2 linked regions of the Ovis aries genome follow. The protein of the gene in region 2 interacts with the protein of the main gene of each other region in a pairwise test. Links are inferred from orthologs where the notes say so. Each region holds a gene or a part of one and is shown on either strand. Other genes may lie near its edges. The genes, in order: SYNJ2 and ITSN2.

Region 1 (4,343 bases), on a different chromosome or scaffold from region 2:
AGAAACTCCAGTACTTTGGCCATTTCATGACTTATTGGAAAAGACTCTGATTCTGGGAGGGATTGGGGGCAGGAGGAGAAGGGGACGACAGAGGATGAGACGGCTGGATGGTATCACTGACTCGATAGACGGGAGTTGGTGATGGACAGGGAGGCCTGGAGTGCTGCAAATCATGGGGTCGCAAAGAGTCGGACACAACTGAGAGACTGAACTGAATGTAAGAAAAGGTCTTCCCTGGTGGCTCAGACAGTGAAGAATCTGCCTGCAATGTAGGAGAACTGGGTTTGATCCCTGGGTGGGGAAGATCCCCTGGAGAAGGGAATGGCAACCCACTCCAGTATTCTTGCCTGGAGAATTCCAGGGACAGAGGAGCCTGGCAGATTACAGTCCACGGGGTCACAGAGAATCGGACACGACTGAGTGACTAACACAAAAAAGACTTCAAAAATTAAGCATTCAGGCCAAAGTCCACTGAAAAATGGATGCCAGGTTAGGTGACAAATGTGGGCTACACGTGAGCTGAGGCCACACCCCTTCCTTTCACTACTTCCTGTTTCAGAATCCAGAGAATTGTAACCACCAGCATAATATACATGATTTCAGCCCAAAAGCCTAATTTCCAAATGGAAAATATGCATTATACCACTTTCATCAATCATTTTAAAATCTTCGCTTTTGAAAAAATAAAGTCTTTTTTATCCTAGTGGCTTCAACAATGCACTAAGTCACTTCAGTCATGTCCAACTCTTTGTGACACTATGAACCATAGCCCACCGGGCTCCTTTTGTCCGTGGGATTTTCTAGGCAAAAATACTGGAGTGGGTTGCCATTTCCTTCTCCAGGAGATCTTCCCAACCCAGGTATTGAACCCCAACCTCTTACATCTCCTGGACTGGCAGGCGGTTTTTTACCTCTAGTGCCACCTGGGAAGCCCAGTGGCTTCAAAGGAACTCTTAAATAATTTAATACAGGAACTCTCTTAAGGTTGCTGTAATCCAACCGACAAATATTTTACTCTCTTTGATGAAGCGGTAGTTTTGTACCATGCAATTAATCTCTCAGCTCTGACAAATGTGGTATGAAGTAGACATTTAAAATGGAATGGAAATTTCTGTAATTTTTTTTTTCCCCCAGACCTTAGCAAATGACCAAACTTGGACTTTTCAGGCTAGAGTACAAATTGAAATAATCTGATAACAATTTAATCCACGATTTACTGCACAGCTTATGGTGCTGACACTACTGGAGACATGGTTTTAGTAACCGAGTGACTGGAAACAAGCCAGATAACCGTATGTTAATAAAATGATTAAGGAAGTGGAAACAGAAGAGATGGTCCTTCCAAGATGTATACTGAAGAATTTAACTGAAGAATGTAGTGCACAATGTGAAAAAAAGACTAGAGTCAATTATAAAGTGTGGTGGGGGTAAGTGCACTGGTTATCCTCCTAAAGGAGTAGAGACCCTCCTCTCCGCTCTGTGTTTAGCTACCAACAAGGGAGACGGTGCCACTGGACAAGAGACGTAAGCCTGTTCTCCAGTGTTCAGGTCGAAGTTCCAACAATCCTTCCTTCTTTCGCTCATGTCGGTATTATCTGGCCTTCCTCGTGAATGTTAAGACACCAAACAAGAAGCCCAATGGCTGGTGATTCCAAGAAGCCACACTCTGTACACCAATACAGAAACAGCCACTGGAAGTCAGGGAGTGCTATCTGTCACCCTGGCCAAGCAAGTTTCTTATCCTCTCCAGGCCTCAGATTACTTCTCTATAATATGGACACTATAATAGCCCAGAACTGTGAAAATTAAATGAGATCGTCTCTAAAGCCCTTGACACAATGTCAGGGTCAAGACTTGCTGGTCTTGACAGAGTTGAAATACACAGACTTGGCAACTACCTAAGGTCAAATCCAGGCTTCCCTGGTGGCTCAGCGGTAAAGAATCTGCCTGCAATGGGGAGACAAGCATAATATCCCTGGGTTAGGACGATTCCCCTGGAGAAGCAAATGGCAACCCACTCTATTACTCTTGCCTGGGAATTTCCATGGACAGAGGAGCCTGGTGGGCTATAGTCCAAGGGGTCACAAGGAGTCGGACACGACCGAGTAAACAGCAACACCAAAATCAAATACAGCCAGTACAGAGTCATCCAGTCGCGTATTTGCCTCCAAATTCTATACTTTGTGGGAATGACGCTTCTCAACCAAGCAGTTGGTTGAGGCCAAGGTGCCATCAGCTGTTTATCCGGCGTCTGGGTTAACGGTGCTTTGTCCCCATCCCCTCCAAGAGCGAAGGAGGCCATCCCAGAGCAGTGGGCATTCCGTGTTTCATCAACAGGTGCCAAAGAGAAACAGCGCCAAGCGCTCGGTCAGGCCGGCTCCTAAGTCAACCCTCCCGGATGGTCACGAATCTGGAACGCGTCCCGGGGGAGCGCGGGGCAGAAGAATCCAGAGGCGGCTCTTCGCGAGTGACCCGCCCGCCGGCAGGCGCGCGGATGGCAGACCCCAAGGGGGGACCGCGGGCAGCCTGGGTCCGGGGGCGCAGCCGCACGTGCTCTGAGGCGTGCCGGCGCCACTTCATTCAAACAGGCCCTTACCGGCCACCCCGCGCGTGCGACCCCCAGTCCTCGGCCGCCTCCGCGCCCCCGGGACCGCTCTACGCGGGGAAGGGAGGTGCCCGTATGCCTCGGTCTCAGCAGAAGAGGCAGGCGCCCTCCCCAGCGGGCACCTCCCCCCCGGGGAAGGGGACGGGGGAAGCGGCCCGAGCCCCCCGCGCCGCTGCGGAGTCGCCTGCCCGGGAGTCCCGGGCAGCACCGCCTGCCGCACTCACCGAGCGTGGCCACCGTGCCGGCCTCGAAGAGCAGGCAGTCCCTGCGGCCGCGCGCCTCCAGCAGGACGCTGCTTTCCCCGGAGGCCTCCAGCCGCCGGAGCAGCCGCAGCGCCTTGCTCAGAGCCATCGGCGCGCGGCCCGGCGCGGCTCCCCGAGCGCCCGCAACTTCCAGGAGTTTCACTTTGCGTCCCCGCCGCGGGCCAGGCGCAGGCTCCTCCCTGCCGGTTCCGCGGCCTCCGACCGGCCCGCCTCCGCCGCGCCCGCGCGCGCCGCCCCGGGCAGGTGAGGGCGCGCGGCCGCCTCCCCGCCGCCCGGTCCGCTCCGCCGATGCGCCGCGCTCCCCCCAGCGGCCGGGCCGCGGCTGGGTGGGTGGGTAGGGGGCGAGCTTCGGGCAAGATCGGGGGCCTGATGGGGGCCGGGAGCGGAGGGGAAGTGCTCCCGCGGTGGGCGGCAGCCGAGGAGGAAGATTCCACACATTCCTGGACGCGGAGGAGGCTGCCGTCGGCGGGGCGCCCTGAAGCTCCTGCAACGTTACTGGACGCCCCGCGGCCTTATATGGGCCCGCCGGGGCCTGGCCGGCGCCACTAGGCTAGAAACTGCCCGGCCCGGGACCTCCGCAGCACTCCGGAGTCCTCCCCAGCCCCGTCCAGGGCGCTGTGCCTCCCTCTCTGGCCTGCTTCTGCGACCTTGGGCGAGTCGCCTGTCCTCTGTGACTCAGTGGCCCTAAAATGTAAAGCGGGATTAGGAAGTGTACTTGCTTCATAACGTTGCAGGGGAGGATGGAGTTAATCCGTACAAAGGGCTTGGTGCACGCCTGAGGAGCGGAAAGTGCTCCATCCATGGTGCCTTTTACTACCTTTCTGTTCAGAGGATCCTGCGGCCCACTGTCCACACCAGGCAGAATTTGGGTAGCCAGGAGTCAAAGGTGGGTTATCTCTGAGACACTGAGCCCCTCATCTCTGGACCTGCCGCTTACCGTGGGACCTTGACTTCTCTGAACCTGCTTTTCTCTCTTATCAGATGGTGAGAGTACCTGCCCCAGAGGCTTGCAGGATGGGCGTGGAGTCATCATTCAGAGGAGCTGAACACTCTGGGAGTGACAAGCAGGGCAAACTGTGAGGTGCTGATGGTTGCAGGAGTGAGAGTGAAGGGCCTTTTCCCTCCGCCTTGCAACCCCTCCTCCCACTCTGCTGAGTGTACCGCCCTTGACTTCATGGCGGATACTTCAATCAGCCAGAATGTACGCAGGCATATGGACACCAGCATGTATCCGTGCATCCCCCATTAGGACACATGGCCCATCTAGAATGACTGGCAGCTAAGGAACAGGAAGTATGCCCCTCTTGGCACTGGGTTTTTAGCCCGGGTGTTGGGACTGGTCTGCAGGGGAGAGGAGTCCAGGGGAGAGGGCTTACCTGGAGTCATCCTTTGGGTGGGTTTGGGGGTTTCATTTCCTTTTTCTATAGTAGGTGTGTGTACATCGGCTCCAGACCTCATCCGGGTGTTCTCATCGG
Region 2 (4,579 bases):
TAGAGTTGTAAAAATACATTATTTCTTGATGCATTCGCTCAGATGTGTTCTTTTTCTGCTCAGTTTCCTTCCCCCCTCCCCCACTTCCTCTCTGCCTGTAGATCATTTAAGACTAGTTCAGTTCCTCCTTCTCAAGAATACCTATATGCACACTACCCAACAGGACTCTAATTTAGTCGCCGTGTTCTGTAGGTAGAGAATGGTAAAAAGTAAAAAATAAACTCAAGTAAAAAATACAGCGTTTCTGATGCAGCTTCATCTATAGGACTATTCTTTTACAGAACTAATCCTAAACATTATTTTTATACTTCACACTTGGAATCCAGCCTTTAACAATTGGCACACAAAAATGTCTGCCTATTTTTAGCCTTTCTTCATAAATATTAATAGTTATTCCATACATTTTTCCATAAATAAGGTACTGAAAATACCAGAATATAAAAAAAGAAAAACAGGCACACGCACTGTTGTATGGTAATAAGATACCACCATATTTTGAGTAAGGTAATTAGCTTATTCTGAATCATTTCTGGAACTTGTTAATGCTTTACAAGTAAATATAGTACATAAAAATGCTACTTATTGATGGAATAATACGTATCAAAACTTTCATTCATTTACTCAACAAATACTGAATGCCCAAATAACCTTTTGTTTAAATTTCTGGACCAAGATGAATGTACCAGTTAAGGAACAGGTGCTGAAGTTAGAAGAATCTTGGTTTGAAACCTGGCTTACTAGCTCAGTGACCTAGAGTAACTCAGTTAACCTAAAGAAGCTCTGTTAACCTCTAGGTTAACATTTCACTTATCTATTTGATGGGTGGGAAAGAACTACTCATTGGATCTCTGTGAGCCTAAATGATTATATAACACAACACAGAGCCTGGGAGGCAGTAAGTGTTCAATAAATGACAAAAATGGTAAATATATTTTAATACTGAGGAAAGTAGCTGAAGTAGATACCCAATAAATGGTCTTTTTGTCTTACTAGATAGAAATTTTGAAACTCTGCATTAAAGATAAAAACCTTAAGGTTATGTAAGAAAATTTACACTTTAAAAAAGAGATACGGTAAGTCTATAGAGTGAAAAAAATAAAGGAAGAAAGAGATGGGCAAAGAAGGTCTTGAAAGCTGCTGAGTTTGGGTGATGGATGTATAGAAGTTCCTTTTACTATTCAGATTTCGTGAAAATACAAAATTTTTAAAAACTATAATTCTATTCCCAGCAATTGTATAACACATTTTCTCATATTCTAGTGAGATCTGGATTTTAGCCATGAGATATGCTGAACTAACAACAGTACCTCCCTCCTCAATAATTCAGTACAGGTCAAGTTTTCTCAAACAATTTCTTGTTATAAAGGTAAGCAAAAAAACAATTACATGCATTAAAGTATTTTAAAAAATGCAAGCTTTCGTGAGGCTCATTACTACTACATTAAATCAGCAGCCATGCACATTTTTTTCCATGGCCTCCAAAAAAAACACAAAATTCTGTTTGTCCTTAAATGAAGCTTTTAGAAATAACTTTCACCTTACCTACTTTTGAAGTAATAAGGAATATATGCCAAGCATATCTCAATAAAGCTGGAGGAAATAAATTACAAGGGAATCGTAGGCACAGCCAAAGAAACCTAGCACATCAAAATTGCTACTATCTTTAAATTTTGAGAGACGTCATTATTAATTTATGTAAGGGGTTTGCGTGATGTTTCTAGATTGTATTTAGGTTTTACCACTGATTAACAACATAGCAAAGCAGCACAGGCAGAGAGGCAATTACTTTTCTTAAGAGGCTTAAGAAGCTTAACCTGGAGTCTATGCTACCTAAATCAAGCTGACTAGGACAACACAAAATTTCAAGGCACATTCGCCTATTTCTGGGTAAGCAAGTAAACCCTAGCAAAAACAAACTAGTGCATTTAGCAAAGCAAACATTTTTGTGTTAAGTTTAATTCCTATCACAAAGTATTATATCAAAAATATTCCTAATTAATACAAGTCTCAAGTGAAGCATACTTGCCATCAGCAATCACTCGACTATAACGCACAGGATTAATAAATCCAAATACATCATCTTTTTACAAAATGCACAGCCATCTGCATTTCAGCCTCGGTTTACCCATTCACTATACACATGCAGGCGTCTTCAAAAAGAATTATAAAAGCAATCAACTTTTACTCTGGTCCAAGAGATTACAGCTCTCCGTGCTTCCTGTATACCCTAGAAGTCAATAACGCTGAACTCAAATTGTAACATTTCCCAACTTTGGTTTAATGAGAGCGGCAGACTCAGAGCATCCGCCCACTGGCCTCTCGTGACTCGGGCTACTTTGACGCACTGGGATGCGGCTCACCTGACATTCCGCACCAACCATTGCCAAGGAGGAAAACCAACTCTGTGAAAATAAAATGGGGCCCCGAGGAAGCGGGCGGGTGCACCTCAGGGCTGGCTCGCTTCTGCCCACACCCCGAAAGCGAGGGGGCCCGCCGCCGCGTCCGCACCTGCCAGAAGAGGCCGCGGCCGGGGTCCAGGGTTTGGCCGCGGGGAAGAGGCAGCCCGGCCCCGGCTCCTGGCTGTCCGCCCTGGCCGCGCCGCGGGGGCAGGAACCCGGGGCCGGAGGTTTCCGCCCGGCGCCGCCAAGACTGCCAGGGGCCTAGTTCGGGGGCCTCCGGGGCTCCCGAGGGCCCTTCCGCGTCATGCGGGGCGCGCAGCCGCCTCCCAGCCCGACCCGCGAGCCTCCCCGCGGCGGACGCGGTAGCGCCCGCACCTGCCCCGCGCCCTGCCGCAGCCCGGGCAGCCGCTTCACCCACCTGGCGCGCCCGCCGCGCCTCCCGCACGTCACAGCGCGACCCTGCGCCCCTCGGCACCAGCGGCGCGGGCGCGGGCGGATGCCGGGAGACCTGCTCGGCAGCCGCCGCCGCCGCGCCTGCTTCGTCGTCAGGCCGCCGACAGCGAACCTGTTGCGCAGCCTGTCACGGCCGCTCGGGCTCCGCGGCGCCGCCTCAGCCCCACAACATGGCGGCCACGGCCTCCGCAGGAAGCCGGGGGGCGGGGAGGGAGGCGACGGGCCGGGCAGTTGACGGCCCGCCCGCCCGCTGGCGGGCACCGACTCGTACTCCCTTGGGAACCCGAAATTGGCCCGGGTGCGGCTCATCACCCCCGAAGTCCCGAGGCCGCGGACCCCGCGGGCCTGGTCCACATGCTCGTCTCTTCCCTCGGGGAGGCCCTGAAGCCCTGGACCCGGCAGCCCTTCCTGGAGGGGTGCCGACCCACCTGGCTCCTCCTCCCCGAGGTGACATGTTGGGGTTGGGTGATGCGTTTCCTGCCACCGCAGACCCCAAGGTTTCGGAAGAGGGGCAAGGGGTGTCCAGCACGTCCCTGATGCAGGCGCCCCACCCCAAGTCCCTGTGGGGTTCTCCCTGGAGCCCTCTCACCTGGGAGCTCAAGTCCCCTGGAATGGGGATGGGGCGGGCATAGGTTATTCCCACCTTTGCTCATGGGTGTGTTACGGGCCTTTCCTTCAAATACCCCAGAAGGACTCACTTTCGTCGTACCTAACAGTCGTCCCGGAGAAGGCAATGGCACCCCACTCCAGTACTCTTGCCTGGAAAATCCTGTGGACGGAGGAGCCTGGTAGGCTGCAGTCCATGGGGTCGTAAGAGTCGGATACGACTGAGTGACTTCACTTTCACTTTTCACTTTTATGCATTGAAGAAGGAAATGGCAACCCACTCCAGTGTTCTTGCCTGGAGAATCCCAGGGATGAGGGGAGCCTGGTGGGCTGCCATCTATGGGGTCGCACAGAGCCGGACACGACTTAAGTGACTTAGCAGCGGCAGCAGCAACAGTCGTCCATTCAGCGTCCCTCACTATAACAAATAAAAAAGGAAAAGAAAGGAGCCTTCCAGCCCCCATCCACACGCAGGGCATCTACCTCGAATACTCTGGCCAAGCAGTAAGAAGATAGTCATCTCTCAGTGAATTCCACGACCTGCGGCCCCCCACCCCCTTGCTGAACTTTCTTCCCCACCTGAGAGCCGCCTGACAGGTGAAGCTCAAATTCAGCATCTGTTTTTTCTCCCCTTTCAGCTCCTAGTCTCTTCACAAAAGACTAAATAACTCAAGTCACCACCATTTATGGGGGGCTTGCCCTTGACACAGCACTCCTTAAAGAGAAAGGCTTTTTGTTATTTGAGGTTAGAGGTGGCATCGGTGGTTCCTATGGGCATAACAAAGTCGGGGTTCAAGACCCAAGATTTTTGTTGGCTTTACACGTGGAGTGTAGGATGGACCCATGTACAAAATTCATACACCATGACTTGTTGGGAAAGGAGAAATCTGTGCAGAGCAAAAGATCCCATGTCTTCCTTTCATTCTTACACGTTGGGGCATGTAAATGTAGCCAGCGGACTTAAGAGGTGTGACTCCGGAGACCAGGCCTATCTGAACTAGACAGGCAACTCCTGTGAGGAACTTAGCAAACATCAGTAATGATAAACAGGCTTTTCCCGCTCTCACATTCGATGTTTTTCCTAACTCTTTGATTTGGACCTGACTTAGACTTGATAGACA

Evidence for each region.
Region 1: the proteins of ITSN2 (region 2) and SYNJ2 interact in a two-hybrid assay, tested with the Homo sapiens proteins (2 studies listed by BioGRID and IntAct). The link is inferred for Ovis aries from reciprocal best matches to the Homo sapiens genes ITSN2 and SYNJ2.

The regions. Positions count from the first base shown.
Region 1 is NC_056061.1:82,290,046-82,294,388, reverse strand, and holds the start of SYNJ2 (synaptojanin-2), read right to left. Parts: upstream 3,014-4,343; 5' UTR 2,957-3,013; coding exon 2,830-2,956; intron 1-2,829. UniProt on the Homo sapiens protein: Inositol 5-phosphatase which may be involved in distinct membrane trafficking and signal transduction pathways. May mediate the inhibitory effect of Rac1 on endocytosis.
Region 2 is NC_056056.1:31,934,411-31,938,989, forward strand, and holds the start of ITSN2 (intersectin-2), read right to left. Parts: upstream 3,043-4,579; 5' UTR 2,818-3,042; exon of another isoform or gene 2,509-2,817; intron 2,405-2,508; exon of another isoform or gene 2,361-2,404; intron 2,252-2,360; exon of another isoform or gene 2,027-2,251; intron 1-2,026.